Linked DNA regions of Canis lupus familiaris. The protein of the gene in region 3 purifies or fractionates together with the protein of the main gene of each other region. This does not show direct contact. Links are inferred from orthologs where the notes say so. Each region holds a gene or a part of one and is shown on either strand. Other genes may lie near its edges. The genes, in order: PIP4P2, CDKN2A, CDK5RAP3 and UFM1.

Region 1 (2,392 bases), on a different chromosome or scaffold from region 3:
TTTACTTACTTATAGAAACACCATGTTCAAGTGGGCTTTTTTTTTTTTTTTTGCATAAAATTCATAGTTAATATAACCGGCAATATTGTCTTACTAAATTTGACTCTGTCAGTGATAGTCCACAAATGCATCAACTCCTATTTCATAGGGACATTGTGGCCTTAGGGATGTATTTCCTAAAAATCACATATAAGCCAACACAAGCTCTTTAAATAAACCTTTGGTTAAAGTTTTTAATCTTTTGTTATTATATTGCTTTTTATTTTAGGTTGGCACCCAAGATTTTGCAAGGCGATTTCATGCAACCTATGTTTCTTGGGCAATTGCTTATCTCTTAGGTTTGATTTGCCTTATCCGAGCTTGCTATTGGGGAGCCATACGAGTGAGTTACCCAGAACATAGTTTTGCATAAGCTTGCTTGTAACTTGGTGATGCAGGTGAGAGTATCTGGCAGTTCTTGATAAGCTACTCTGGGCATCTTTGAGTCATTCATCCTAATGGATTCCATTCTGGTTTCTGTATAAAGTTCCAAGACTTTGGGAGTGTTTTATGAACAAATGCTCATTGCACTACATTATATGCAAACAGTTTGTTTTGCTGCTAGGTTTTCAAAGCTCTGAATAATAAAACTGTGTCTTCATGTTCTTTTACATCTCTTAAAGATATTTTGGATTTGCCAAACATTACATGTAACATCACCTTTCCATTATTGTTTTTAAATCAGTTCCATTACTTGCTGATCTGTGAGTATTCCCAAGGAGTATTTATAAATATTTCTACAATAGCTTCACATTTATACTCACATTTTAGTTAAACAGTATCAAAATTGCTCGCTTTAAAATCTAAGCAATATGCATTTTGCTTGAACTGCTTACTGTAACTTTAACCTAAGATCATAGTGACCTTATTCAGGAAAAAAAAAAAAATTGAGTGTACCTTCAAAGACTTGACATTCTTGTCAGATAAAAACCATTTCTAGATACTGTATGCTTGTTTTTTGTTGTTTGTAGAAAGATACAATATTTTGGTAGTAATTTAAAATACAAGAATGAAAATATTTATTTGTCCACAGTTGGAGATAATGTTGGATAAATGTTTTTTCTCAAAGATCACAGGACTTTTGTCTTTCATTTTTGTCTGCTTTTTTATTTACTAATTTTAGAAGTTCTGGTCTAGATTTATGAAATTTAATGTTAATCAGCTGTATGTATTCCTTTATAGATGTTGGAGGAAGTATTTCACATAACATGTTTTATAATAACCATTTGAACAAAGATATATTTACCTTAAGTTGCCCCCCTTTACATTGGATCATGGTGAATTTTCCTTATTGGGCTAATTATGGACTACTTATATGAGAAGAGAGCCTGTGACATTTTACACTAGCTAAAATGTTGAGATTAGAGGTAGTTATTCTTATCATTCTTCTCAAATATAGTCTGGTCTGATAGTTACCCAACTTATTCAAGAAGGTAGATCACAGACAAAAAACAACATAGTTTTCTAAGAATTCACTAAGATTTAAGGAATCAGCTCTCGCACTGCCCATCTTTGCAGTTTTGGAAAAGAAATTGCTTAATTGAGAAATAATGTTCTAAAGCCTTTAATATAGTAGAATTAAGATAAGGGGATAATATGAGTAAATTAATTGGCTATTCCAGAGATAAGAATAATAATTTAAATATTTATGTTCCTGACTAGTATAAAAATGTACTCATCAGAGAATTTGGAGCAAAATATGTGTAAACTTTAAAGAGTAAATGATAAATGTTTAAATGCAGTAGCTCAGGATTATATGTACCTTTGAAAATACGCTAATAAAGATTATTGTTCAAAAATTACCTTGTTATATTTCCATTTTTTAAAAATAAAATGGTGTTTCCAAAATTGCCTTGAGTTATTACTCTAAAAGGAGTTTTCGTGTTTAAGAACATATGTAATATTTCTTTATATAATATTCACTTATTTTTTTTCTAGTATTTTCCTGCTTTCATTTTAGAAATACAGATTTTAAATCCATTAGTAATACATTTGATGTAAGGTATGAAATAAGAATCTAATTTATTTCTTAATGGCTAACTAGTTGTAACAGCAAACCCACATTAAATTATATGCTGCATGATCTTTTTCCTTTTGGACTATAATTCCGTGATAGTAGGAACTTGGGTGGCCTTTCTCACTGCTTTATCTTCAGCATTTAGAACAGCACCTAGTGCATTTGTATTCAGTAGATATTTGTTGCATGAATGAATAAATGATGGATGAATTGGTATGTTAAAATTTTATCCCTTGGGTTTAGTCTTTATATTTTGTTACAGAATATATAAGTGAATATCCATATAATCTTGTGTTAAAGAAAAACTTTCTAAGTAAAACCTCAAAACAAATCACA
Region 2 (4,059 bases), on a different chromosome or scaffold from region 3:
GGGGGGCGATGGGCGGCGGGGGGAGGGGGGTGATGGGAGACCGGGAAGGGGCGGGGGGGGGCGATGGGCGGCGGGGAAGGGCGGGGGGGTGGTAATGGGCGACGGGAAAGGGGCGGGGGGGCGATGGGCGGCGGGGGGAGGGGGTGATGGGCGACGGGGAAGGGCGGGGGGGGGTGGTAATGGGCGACGGGAAAGGGGCGGGGGGGGGGCGATGGACGGCGGGGGGAGGGGGTGATGGGCGACGGGGAAGGGGCGGGGGGAGGTCGATGGGCGGCGGGGGGAGGGGCGGGGCGCCATGGGCGGCGGGGGGAGGGGGCGACGGGCGACGGGGGAGGGGCGGGGGGGCGATGGGCGAGGGGGGCGCAATGGGCGGCGGGGGGAGGAGCGATGGGCGGCGGGGGGAGGGGCGGGGCGCAATGGGCGGCTGGGGGAGGGGCGACGGGGGAGGGGCGGGGGGGGCGACGGGCGACGGGGGAGGGGCGACAGGGGCGCAAGGGGCGGCGGGGGGAGGGGTGATGGGCGGTGGGGGGGGCGGGGCGCAATGGGCGGCCGGGGGAGGGGGCGACGGGCGACGGGGGAGGGGCGGGGGGCGACGGGCGACGGGGGAGGGGCGACAGGGGCGCAATGGGCGGCGGGGGGAGGGGTGATGGGCGGCGGGGGGGGGCGGGGCGCAATGGGCGGCCGGGGGAGGGGGCGACGGGCGACGGGGGAGGGGCGGGGGGCGACGGGCGACGGGGGAGGGGCGACAGGGGCGCAATGGGCGGCGGGGGGGGGGGCGGGGCGCCATGGGCGGCCGGGGGAGGGGGCGACGGGCGACGGGGGAGGGGCGGGGGGCGATGGGCAGCGGGGGGAGGGGCGGGGGGGCAGCGCCCGGCTCGGGGAGCGCAGGCGGGGCGGAGCGCGGAGCGACGCGGCGCGAGGGCAGCTGTGGGGCGGCCCGCGGCTCCCTGCCCCCGCGGCTCGGTCGTGCTCCCCTGGGGGAGCCGTGGAACCGAGACGGCAGAGGCCACGCGTGGGGCGACTCGTTTCGCAGCGAGTTGAGAGCGGAGGGCGCTCTCCTGGATTGAAAGAGTCGGGTTGGAGGAGTCGAGGGGCCGAGTCTGGGGGCCGCTTCCGCCGGCCCCGGAGGAGGGGAGAGGAGGGGAGAGGAGGGGCGGGCGGGTCACGAGAGGCTGGGGCGGGCCGCTGGCGCCCGACGGCCGCGGCGGGAAGGAGGGAGGGAGGGAGGGAGCCGGGGGCCCGCGCTCGGGAGCAGCATGGAGCCCTTCGCCGACTGGCTGGCCTCGGCGGCAGCCCGGGGCCGCGCGGACGAGGTGCGGGCGCTGCTCGCGGCGGGGGCGCCTCCCGACGCGCCGAACCGCCTGGGTCGGAGCCCGATTCAGGTGGGTGAGCGCGCGGGCGGCGGGAGGAGGCGGTGGCGGACGACTGTGCGGCACAGGGTTTGCAAGGGAGTCCTCCAGGTCTGCCGGTCGCTGGTCGGGGACGGGGAGACTCCCTGGTGAGGTCCCAGGTGGTGTCTGGAGCCCGGAGCTTCCAGTGTCCGCGTCCTGGGGGCAGAGGAAGCCGCGGGGGGGGGGGGGGGGGGGGGGGGAGGGGAGATGGGGAGGCACGTGCAGGGCAGATGTCTGGTCTGAGATCGGGAGGGGGGAGCCTGTTCGTGTTAATATAGTCCGAGGTGTGCTCTCCATCTGATACACAGTTACGAACGTAAAGCAAGATTTTAAAGAAATGGAAGATTTGTTGGGCCCACTAGGCCGGAACTCATAGACCCCTGAAGGGAGCGGATCATCTTCTGTGCTAGCGGCGATTGTACTGGAAACCTTCTGCTGTGTAAATTGAATAAATATTCATTGAAATTGTTCAGAAGCAACTGCATGTTGTGTTTATTTTTACTTTAACCGTGTATGGCACATCTGTGCTTGTGAGAATTTAGGGAATACAGACAGACATAGATGAAGAAAAACAGTGTGATCTTGCCTGAGATAATGCCGTCGATTTAGCTACCATTTTGAGGGTACCTCCTATTATTTTTGTTACTTTTGACTTGCTATAGATTAACGCAGTTGAGAGAGTTTTGGATTCCTCACGGTTCAGAAATGTGGTTTCTTCCCTCCTGACTCCGGTTGTGGGTGGGGGTGGGGGTGCTGGGTATTTGCTGTTGTTGTTTGCCTTCACTAAATTCCTAAATCCAGGCTAAAAAAAAAAAAAAAAAAAACCCAAAACCAAAAAACCCTATTTCTCCCTGTTCGTCACCACCCTAGTTTTATTCCCAGTGTTGACAATGATTTTGGATTGTGAAAAATAAAATGTATGTGAAACAAAGGCTCACTGCACAAATTCAAGCATAACAAGACAAAGGAAAGTAACTGTACCTGCAATTGCACAGATTTCACAAGTCATCTTCCTTTCCTGAAACAATGCTACATAGGATAAATTTTATATACCTTAACATACATATATAAAAATAAAAACAAAATGCCTTAAAACTTGAGATTATTTGGGATTTTAAGTGTGAAGGGATTTTGAGAGTAGAGAGGTTGTGTGATGGTAGAAGAAAACCATGAGTCCTTTAAAAAGAATGCATGCATGATTTCTCATTTCTCTAAGATTTTGCTCAGAGACTGAGTGTGGCCTTGAAGTTTGGAATATGTTTGAAGAGACTTTGTTTAAATACAAAAAGAAAAAAGTTGGATAATTAGTTTTAACAATTTTTTTAATAGGGAAAATAAGAACATAGAGAAAAGAGTGCATGGTTTTGGTTTAGAACCCTAACCAACCTTGTGTTTAATACAAAACTAATTAGTTTATAGAAAATTATAATTACTTTAAATATCTTATCAAATGGATTTAAGCACTCTACAAATATTCATTTAATCGATTCTTTTTCTTTCAGCTTTGGATTGCTATTTAGATTTAAGTATTTAAGTGTTAGGTTTCTTTCATACTTTAATACTGCAAAATATAATGAAAACCTTTAAAATCAGTTAAGTGTATGTTACCTTACATGGGAAAAGAGGCTTCGCAGATGTTCCTTGGCTTAGAGAAATAATTATTTACGTTTAATGCAGAATGTAATTAAAAATAATTCCTTTTTATACAGTCACTATAAGTCTAGCTAATATAATCAAATAGTGGTTAGCCTAAAAGAAAATTATCTACCACTGCCATCTGCCATGTAACACTCAAATTGTAAGGTTGCTGTGATTGTAGATACTATTTAAAAAATCCTCTTTGGTAATGACTTTGTTTCAAAGACGATTTATCAAACAAATGAAGGGAGCACCTCCTGTTTAATGAACTCTCAGAGTATATAAACTTGGGAAGTTTCTTAGTTTCCTATTTCTGCTGTAACAAATTACCACAACTTTTGTGTCTCAAACCAACATAAATTTATTATCTTATAGTTCTGGAGGTTGAAGTCTAAAATGGATCCACAATGCTGCATTTCTTTTGGAAGTTCTAGGGGAGAATCTGTTTCCAACTTCTAATGGCCATCAACATTCCTGTGCTCATGGTCCCTGCATCTTCTTCTCTCTGACCTCCATTCTTAGATCTTTCTTCTGTAACCTCATAAGGGAATTTGTGATTACATTGGGCCCATCCTGATAATCCATGTTAATCTCTCTCAAAATCCTTAATTTAATCACATCTGGGAAGCCTCTCTTCCCATGTAAGGTATTATATTCACAGCTTTCAAGTGTTAGGTAGTACACATCTTTGGGGACATTCTTCAGCTCATTATGGGAAGGAATTTGGGGGCTGGTTAGAGAACCCTCATTTTATACTTAGAGTGAATTTTAACATTCTGGTAGGCTAAGTGTATATTAAAAGTTTTTTAGGAATTAAAGATTTGTTGTTGTTTTCACTTTCACTTTTTAACAATTATTATGTCCTGGGCTTGGATATACAACAGAAAACCATACAAAATCTCTGGGCCTTATATAATTTTGTATCAAAATGGGTGGGGGGGCTATAGGAGGTTAGGCTATAGTTCAAGCCAGTTCGTCTCTCACTCTTTTGCTATTGTCATGCCTCTGACAGACAATAGGGTGTGGCTGG
Region 3 (4,131 bases):
CTCTAAATTCTCCATAATATTTTTGCTTCCATGGGTAATTATATCTTTCTTACTGACAGAGGATGCTTTCAACTTCCACTTCCTCAGGGCTGGGATTAACCATGACAATGGAAAATACAAGATGATTATGCCAAGTACCGGATGAATGAACAACTGTAAAGCCCCTAATACCTGCAGCGCCCTAAGGACTAGGTAACACTGGTACTCTCAACAGTGAAGAACTGCCTGGCACCACAAGAACACCAACGTGACTGACCTCCTGGACTCTGGGCCCAGATCTGTTTTTAGGAGAGGGTGTGGGTGGATGAGAGCCATGCATGTTTCCTCAGTAGGAGACAGCTAAGAGCTAGGTTTTGTGGTCAGATGGTCCTGGTTTCTAATTATTACCCCCACCCCCTTTTTTTAAGACTGATTTATTTGAGAGAGAGAAAGAGAGAGCATGTGAGCATGGGGAGGGGGGGTAGAAGGAGAGAGAACCTTAGGCAGACTCCCCACTGAGCACAGAGCCCAACATGGGGCTTAATCCCACAACCCAGAGACCATGACCTGAGCCGAAATCAAGACCCTTAACTGACTGAGCCACCGAGGCGCCCCTAATTATCAACTTTAAGTCTCTCAACCATTCTGTGCGTCAAGTTTCCCCACATATAAAATGGAGATAAGATATTGAACACAAGAGAGAATGGAGTACTGTGCCTGGCATATGACAAGGACTCAATAAATCCAAGTAAAATATGCTCATTTTTGCAATGTCAAGTGCCTAAAACAGCACCTGGTAGAGCAAAGACTCAACGAATGGTTGTTGTTTTCCTGGTCCTTTTCACAGCCAATGACAAGTTCATGCACCAAGAGTGCACAAATGCTGAAGAACTGGGACAAATCTGAATTTTTCTCCGTTATGGGGACACCTGGGTGGCTCAGTGGTTGAGCTTCTGCCTTTGGCTCAGGGCCTGATCCTGGGGTCCTGGGATTGCCTGCATCGGGCTTCCCACAAGGAGACTGCCTCTCTCTCTCTTGAATACATAAATAAATAAAAATATATTTAAAAAAAGAAGCTCCAGGGCAGCCTGGGTGGCTCAGCGGTTTAGTGCCTGCCTTTGGCTCAGGGCATGATCCTGGAATCCTGGGATTGAGTCCGAAGTCGGGCTTGCTGCATGGAGCTTACTTCTCCCTCTGTCTGTGTCTCTGCCTCTCTCTCTCTCTCTCTGTGTCTCTCATGAATAAATAAATCTTTTTAAAAATTTAAAAAAAAAGCTCTATTACGTGGCCACTGCATAGAACTCACTAAATAGTCCACAGTAGTGAACTGAGAACCCTGCCCTTGTTAACATACCTGCCAACTGATCAAACACTGTGCTCTCACACTAGTTTTCAGCTATATCCCCTCGCTGTATTCCTCTGAAACCTTCAAAAAGAAAAACTCTGTAGATACAATAAAACTAGAAGGGGATGAGGTAGTCAGATGTCATTTTTTTTTAAGGATCTTATTTATTCATGAGAGACAGAGAGGCAGGGAGACACAGGCAGAGGGAGAAGTAGGCTCCATGCAGGGATCCCGATGTGGGACTCGATCCCCGGACTCCAGGATCAGGCCCTGGGCTGAAGGCGGCGCTAAACCGCGGAGCCACCCAGCCTGTCCTAGTCAGATGTCATCTTAATGACAAAACTGACATCAAATCCATTAATGCAATTAGCATTTTACAATCCAGGAGTAGTGCACTTGCCTAGAAGGGTCATATATGAGGAGGTCCTTCCCTGGCTCTGAACTGAGGAGGTATTTAGATCAGATATAGACAGCAGGAAGGTGGCCTGCCCACTAAAAGGTCTTTGTTCCCAATTGGGTCTATGTCCCTCTTCCTCCTAAAATCAGGGGAAGATGGAAGCTTTTCTCTTTAAAAAAAAAGGGGGGGGCGGTGTGCCTGGGTGGCTCAGTGGTTGAGCATCTGTCTTCAGCTCAGGACATGATCCTGGGGTCCTGGGATCGAGTCCCACATCCGGCTCCCTACCGGGAGCCTGCTTCTCCCTCTGCCTGTGTCTCCACGGCTCTCTGTGTCTCTCATGAATAAATAATTTATTTTAAAAGGAGGGAAGTTTTTTCTATACAAAAAGCATAGACATTGGAGTCCGACAGACTCGAACTCTAACTTCCTATCTGCCACTTAGTAGCTGACCGTCTTTACAGTAAGCCACTAATCTGGGCCTGATGATTGACCGCACGTGTCATGATGCTATACGGTGGAAGCCGAAGGTTCAAGTACAGACTATGTACGGTTCCTTCCCGCTCCTCCGAGCGCGGCAGGCAGACGCGGCTGGGAGCAGATCACCGCGAGTGGTCAGCGCCTCAGCAGGGGCCTTGGGGCATCGGGGCTCCCAGCTGTTGGCGACAGGCAGCAAAGGGCAGGGCCTCCCCCTGGCAGCCGGTTGCGCGGGGCGTCCCCTCCTACCGAGCAGCTTGCTGGTCTGGATGTCGATGGGCACGTGCTGATGGTCCTGGAGGGAAACACGCCGGGGAACGGGGCGTGAGCGCGCCGAGGGGGCGTGCCCCCTGCGCGCTCGGTTCAGGGGCCCAACCGCCGCCCTGCGGGGCCAGAATGACGGGCCCGGGGTGGGGGGCGCGCCCGGGAGAGAGGCCGGCGACGCGGGCCAGGAACTGACGGGCCGAATTCAGCCCGGGTCCCCGGAGCAGCCCCCCACAGCCCCCAGCTCCAGGCCCCACACCTGCATCTTCCTCCACTTCCGCTTCCGGCTGGCGACCCACGCCAGCCCCACCTACAACCAATCGCGCGCGGGGCTAGCGGAGCCTCTGTCTAGGCCCGAACGCGCCTCCTCCGGCCACGTAGCCACCTTCCTCCGAGCCAATCGGGACGCGCGCTCCTCCCCTGGCCACAAGCCCCACCCACCTCGGGGCTCCGAATGGCTGAGCCCGGAGAGGCGGGAGGACGGGAGTCAGCCAATGGGAGACGCGAGGCGGGCTCAGGGCTGGAGAGGGGCGGGGCGCCGAGAAAAGGCTGCAGGGGCGGCGAGCTCGCGGCAGGGGACGCCCGAGAGCTGACACCCGCCGCTTGCGGCTAGGTGGCCACCGAGCCTCCGGTGCTAGGATTACCTGGCTCGCCGAGAGGGTCCTAGCGCTGACCCTGGACACCCGGAGGCCGTTAGAAATGCCTCCTTCCCGCCTTGCCTGGCTTTACGTCCGTCGTCGTTTGTGGGTGGCACTTGTCACATTTTGCCTTCCCGTTGAGTTTCTCTGATAGACATGTGTTGAGTACCTGCTACCTGTTGGGTAGATTAGGGCGGGGAAGGGGAGGCATCCCCAAGATAACACCTACATCGAGTCTTCAAAAGAAGAGCTGGGGCAGCCCTGGTGGCTCAGCAGTTTAGCGCCGCCTTCGGCCCAGGGCCTGATCCTGGAGTCCCAGGATCGAGTCCCACGTCGGGCTCCCTGCATGGAGCCTGCTTCTCCTTCTGCCTGTGTCTCTGCCTCTCTCTCTCTCTATCTCTCATGAATAAATAAATAAAATCTTTTAAAAAATAAATGAATTAATAAAATAAAAGCTGCAGGAGCACCCTGGTGGCTCTGTGGCTGAGCATCTGCCTTTGGCTCAGGGAGTGAACCTGGGGTCCTGGGCTCCTTCCTGCATCAGGCTCCCTGCAGGGAGCCTGCTTCTCCCTCTGCCTCTCTCTCTGTGTCTCTCATGAATAAATAATAAATAAAACCTTTAAATGAACGAATAAATAAATAAATAAATAAATAAATAAATAAATAAATAAATAATTTTTTATGATGGAAGAATTTCAAGAGGGCACCCCGACCGACGGGTCTCACGCTGATGATGCTGGTGGTGGCAGTGGCAGTGAAGGCAGGCCAGCATTTGTGCAGTAAAAAGTTTGGGGCAAGGAGTGGCCAGCCAGGAGACTGTAAAGGTGGAAAGGTCCTATCATAGGGAGGAGCCTCATGAAGGAACTTGGACTTCACCCCTGCAGACAGGGAGGAACCACTAGAGGAGGGTTTGAAGGGTTTGAAGCGGGGAAGGACCTGTGACCGCAGAGGATAGATTCGCGAGAGATAAGACTGGAGACAGGTAGACTGTCAGGAGGTTATTATTGCAGAGATTAGGGCCTGATGGAGGACAA
Region 4 (4,308 bases), on a different chromosome or scaffold from region 3:
AAGAATTCTTATCGGAAAAAAAAAAAAAAATCAGGTGCCATGCATCATACTGAAGCCTTTCTTTCCTAAGTCAGAGTCTGCATTCTCTCCCCGGGGAGCTGTCGCCACAGAACAGCACTGACACAAAATTACGGAAATTGGTCTTTCACATTCCTCCTGCAGCTCTTTCCCTATTCCTCTTAGACATCTCTCCTTAGAAATCTTAACATAATAGCCTAAAGATTATCTAGATTTCCTCAGTATTTTAGTACCTACTTGTTTCCTATCTTATAATTCATTGCAATACTTCTTAAAAAGGGAATTACAGACATTGGAGAGGGATGTTTATTTTTGCGAACACAGATGTTTACATTTGTAGTAGACTTCAGAGGGCATATACGGTCTATCTTCACTATACAAGAACTTGTTAGACCATGGAGGGTTGGCATCTACCCTCTTACCCATTCTAGCATCCGCAGCACTGAACTTTACTAGAAAGGATTCAAAGTTTGTTATTAAATTGAATAGATGTGCTCATGATCGGCGCCCCAGCCCCAGCTCCCTGGTGCAATACTATTAGACCACACAACAAACTAGTGAAATCCCGCTCACGGATTGCTCTTTCTCTTAAAGATTTTACTTATTTATTCGTGAGGGTCGTGCACAGCGAGGGAGGCGGAGACACAGAGGGAGAGGCAGGCTCCACGCAGGGAGCCCCACGTGGGACTCGATCCCGGGTCTCCAGGGTCACGCCCTGGGCCGAAGGCAGGCGCCAAACCGCTGAGCCACCCAGGCCTCCCTGGATTGCCCTTTCCATGTATATTCCAAGCTCTTCTAGCACAGGGATCTTACCTTTCTCACCAACTTTATTCCTCTGTCGTCTGTTGAAACTTGACATCAGTATTGCCTAGCGTTAAGGAAAAAAATGTTGAAATGCAAGATACAACAGGATTGCATTGCTGGAAAGACAGAAGAATGCTAATACTAAAGAGAGGCGAAGATTCCAGCTTCTTGAACTCAACACTCCAGGATTTCGGCGACCAGGTTGCCCTAGCAACTGCGCGGCAGGCCGGCCCCCCAGCCCCCCGGCCCCCCAGCCCCCAGCCCCGCCCGCGTCCCGCCCGCGTCCCGCCCCTCGCCGCGCCCCGCCGCGCCCCGCCGCGCCCCGCCGCGCCCGCCTACTCTGTGCCCTCACTTCCGCCCCAAGCTGCCCGCTGGGACCTAGCGTCCCGCCGTCTCTTCCCACATTTGTATTGCCTGACTGGAAATACGGCAGGAAATAACCGCAGTTCGAAAAATATTCCTCCATACGATCCATGCTCTAGTCTCAGAACTTTAAATGCTAAATGAGTAGCTCTTTGCAACACGGAGGCTCCGCCCAGCACAAGCAACCGAAGCCGATTTTCAGGCAGTGCCTCAGACAACACAAGCTTTGGAGGCCCCCGGGTTGCGGAGGGAGACGTGGGCCTGGGGCGGGGGGGCGGGGGTGGCGCGGCCCCGGGCGAGCAGGCGGCGTCGGCGGGGGTGTCGGTCCGCAGGGCTCCACGATGTGAGTGTGTGCTGACCCCAACCTCAACCCCTGGCCCTGCTGCACGGCTTTAACTCACTCTGGCTTCCCTCCTCAGGTCGAAGGTTTCCTTTAAGATCACGCTGACGTCGGACCCGCGGCTGCCTTACAAAGTGTGAGTAGCGGGCGGCGGTGGGCCTTGCGGGCTGCGGGAGGAGAGGCGGTGACCAGGCTGGCCTCCGGGCGCTCTCCCACCCCAGCAGGCTGCATCCCGTCCCTTCCCTTCCCCCTTGCCCTTCCTGGAGCTTCCCCCCACCCCAGCAGTGGAGACGGAGACGCAGACGCGAGGGAGCAGGGACGGGACGGGACGGGACGGGAACGCCGCGGCTGCTAGCCGACCGGCCCGCGGGGCTCCCGGGGCGGGGGTGGAGGGTGGAGGGTGGAGGGTGGAGCGGGGGGACGTGTGGCAGGGCTCTAATGATTTGCGAGGGTCCGCGAACAGTCCCTGTCTGCTCTGATTGGAAAGGCGCTTTGCTGCTTTGACCAGCTGCTAACGGGAAGTAAGGGAAGACAGCCCCGTCCAGGTTCTGAAATTACTGGAACGTGGAGTACGGTCAGGCTTCTGGTTCCTGTGCAAGTGACTCAACAGCCGGGCGTCACAAAGTACTGGTCCTCAAATCATACATTTTCTATGTTGGGGTTTAATAAAGAGTGGTAAGTGGGAATAGGGAGTGCAGAAATAGGGCACGCGAGGCCCTAGTTTTCTCCTTCAGCAGTTGAGTGATGGGTTGGCACAGGTTTAACAACATACTCACCCGGAATCTTCTGTGATTTTAGACAAACGATTATTGAGGTTACTGCTGCCGGAAGTCGCATAAGATGCGGTAAAGGGCAAGACTTCAGTAGGATTTTATTCATAGTTAATATAACTAGTATCAAGGCCTACCTAACGAAACTCTTAACAGTTGTCATCAGCCTCAGTGACTTAACTATCTGACCCATGCAACTCCCAGCCTTAAGCTTTCTCGATCATTCGTCTCCAGGTAAATCTTTCATCTTATCTCACATAGTTATGGTTGCAGCCTAGAACCGTAAGGCCTTCAGTAACTGCTCCAGCTAAGGTGTCATTTTCAAGTATTCCCTTGTGGATGACCTTGTTTTCTTTTTAAATTTGAGTTACTCTAATATTTTTTCTGTAAAAAAAAAAAAAAAAAAGTTCTTTGCTTTTCTTTTTTTTTTTTTTAAGATTTTATTTATTCATGAGAGACACCGAGACAGAGAGAGAGGCACAGACACAGGCAGAGGGAGAAGCAGGCTCCATGCAGGGAGCCCGACGTGGGACTTGATCCCCGGTCTTAGGAATCACACCCTGGGCTGAAGGCGGCACTAAACCACTGAGCCACCTGGGCTGCCCAAAATGTTTCTTTTAATTCATTGATCACATCTCTTTTTAAATCAATCATTACCCTCTCTCCACTGCTTTACCCCATTCCTTTTCTTCTTACTCTCTTAGAGTCCATGGTCCAGTTACTCTCTGGTGGGTCCACTCACCTCAACTCTGGTGTTCTTTCCCCAGTATGTTTTGCTTGGTGAAACACCACCTCTGAACTCAGCCACTATGTTCCCTACATAACTAAAGGTCTTTACTGAAAATTATAACTAGACTGATGGATTTTTTTAAAAGATTTTATTTATTTATTCATGAGAGAGAGAAAGAGGCAGAGACACAGGCAGAGGGAGAAGCAGACTCCCTATGGGGAGCCCGATGTGGGACTCGATCCCAGGACCCTGGGATCATGCCCTGAGTCAAAGGTAGGCACTCAACCACTGAGCCACCCAGGCGTAGGATCCTAGGTTGATGGATCTTGTATAAAATTCATAACTGTGCTCAATAGTACCTAACACTATGTTACAGTTCCCAAGTTTTCCTATCTCTTTATTCTCTAAAAGGATTTTTTAAAAATCTATTCATACTTTCTACAATGCTTTTTTTTTCTCTTTTGCTGAAGCCATCAGAGGAAGATGCATCTTTCCATCACCACATCTGTAAAGCTATTGTTATGTTTATAAACCCATAATTTCTTTTCATCATCCTTTTACAAAGGAACACATGATTTTATTCCTATGAAAAACCAAGCTGTGCCACTTGGGCACTTGTGTCTTCTCAAGCTTAGAGTAGATGGGAGTCCAGAGATCCCTCTCTCCTCACCACCTTTGATTTCTCCCTTTATAGGATTATTCTCATCAGTGTGTAGATAATTCTCTAGAACAGGAGGGAAAAAGGACAGAGTAGGACAGCAGTAGTATCTGTAAGAGTGCCCAGAACTTTTTACTAGTTCAATTAATATTCATGACTGAATGAATTTAATAGACATACCTACTGTTTGGTGTGTATGTATAATCTGTATATGGATATGTGTGTATATAAAATATGTATGACATGTGCATGTATGTAAAGTTAATTCTGCTATACTTCGTATTCGAAGTAAGTGGTAACTAGTACTTGGGTACTGTTAAATGCCATTCGTAAAATTTGCGGGAGAATTTGCTTTGGCTTTTTAATGTCACTTGTCACTTGCAAAGCCAGTAAATAAATGCTTTGATAGATAATTGTGCTTTGAGTTTCTAACATTACTAATAGTTGAATTCTAAAAAGGATTTTTTTTTAAGATTTTTTTTTTTTAAGATTTTATTTATTTATTCACAAAGATACACAAAGAGAGAGAGAGGCAGAGGCAGAGGCAGAGGGAGAAGCAGGCACCACACAGGGAGCCCGACGTGGGACTCGATCCCGGGTCTCCAGGATCACACCCTGGGCTGCA

The links.
Region 1: the proteins of CDK5RAP3 (region 3) and PIP4P2 purify together in Homo sapiens (affinity purification with mass spectrometry; 3 studies listed by BioGRID and IntAct, counting the BioPlex papers as one, with this or other methods). This does not show direct contact. The link is inferred for Canis lupus familiaris from reciprocal best matches to the Homo sapiens genes CDK5RAP3 and PIP4P2.
Region 2: the proteins of CDK5RAP3 (region 3) and CDKN2A purify together in Homo sapiens (affinity purification with western blotting; 3 studies listed by BioGRID). This does not show direct contact. The link is inferred for Canis lupus familiaris from reciprocal best matches to the Homo sapiens genes CDK5RAP3 and CDKN2A.
Region 4: the proteins of CDK5RAP3 (region 3) and UFM1 purify together in Homo sapiens (co-immunoprecipitation; 3 studies listed by BioGRID and IntAct, with this or other methods). This does not show direct contact. The link is inferred for Canis lupus familiaris from reciprocal best matches to the Homo sapiens genes CDK5RAP3 and UFM1.

The regions. Positions count from the first base shown.
Region 1 is NC_049250.1:37,017,075-37,019,466, reverse strand, and holds the end of PIP4P2 (type 2 phosphatidylinositol 4,5-bisphosphate 4-phosphatase), read left to right. Parts: intron 1-268; coding exon 269-412; 3' UTR 413-1,841; downstream 1,842-2,392. UniProt on the Homo sapiens protein: Catalyzes the hydrolysis of phosphatidylinositol-4,5-bisphosphate (PtdIns-4,5-P2) to phosphatidylinositol-4-phosphate (PtdIns-4-P).
Region 2 is NC_049232.1:41,340,014-41,344,072, reverse strand, and holds the start of CDKN2A (cyclin-dependent kinase inhibitor 2A), read left to right. Parts: upstream 1-1,244; 5' UTR 1,245-1,256; coding exon 1,257-1,382; intron 1,383-4,059. UniProt on the Homo sapiens protein: Acts as a negative regulator of the proliferation of normal cells by interacting strongly with CDK4 and CDK6. This inhibits their ability to interact with cyclins D and to phosphorylate the retinoblastoma protein.
Region 3 is NC_049230.1:24,226,312-24,230,442, reverse strand, and holds the start of CDK5RAP3 (CDK5 regulatory subunit-associated protein 3), read right to left. Parts: upstream 2,832-4,131; 5' UTR 2,725-2,831; coding exon 2,719-2,724; intron 2,491-2,718; coding exon 2,445-2,490; intron 1-2,444. UniProt on the Homo sapiens protein: Substrate adapter of E3 ligase complexes mediating ufmylation, the covalent attachment of the ubiquitin-like modifier UFM1 to substrate proteins, and which is involved in various processes, such as ribosome recycling and reticulophagy (also called ER-phagy).
Region 4 is NC_049246.1:2,607,814-2,612,121, reverse strand, and holds the start of UFM1 (ubiquitin-fold modifier 1), read left to right. Parts: upstream 1-1,459; 5' UTR 1,460-1,526; coding exon 1,527-1,528; intron 1,529-1,604; coding exon 1,605-1,661; intron 1,662-4,308. UniProt on the Homo sapiens protein: Ubiquitin-like modifier which can be covalently attached via an isopeptide bond to lysine residues of substrate proteins as a monomer or a lysine-linked polymer.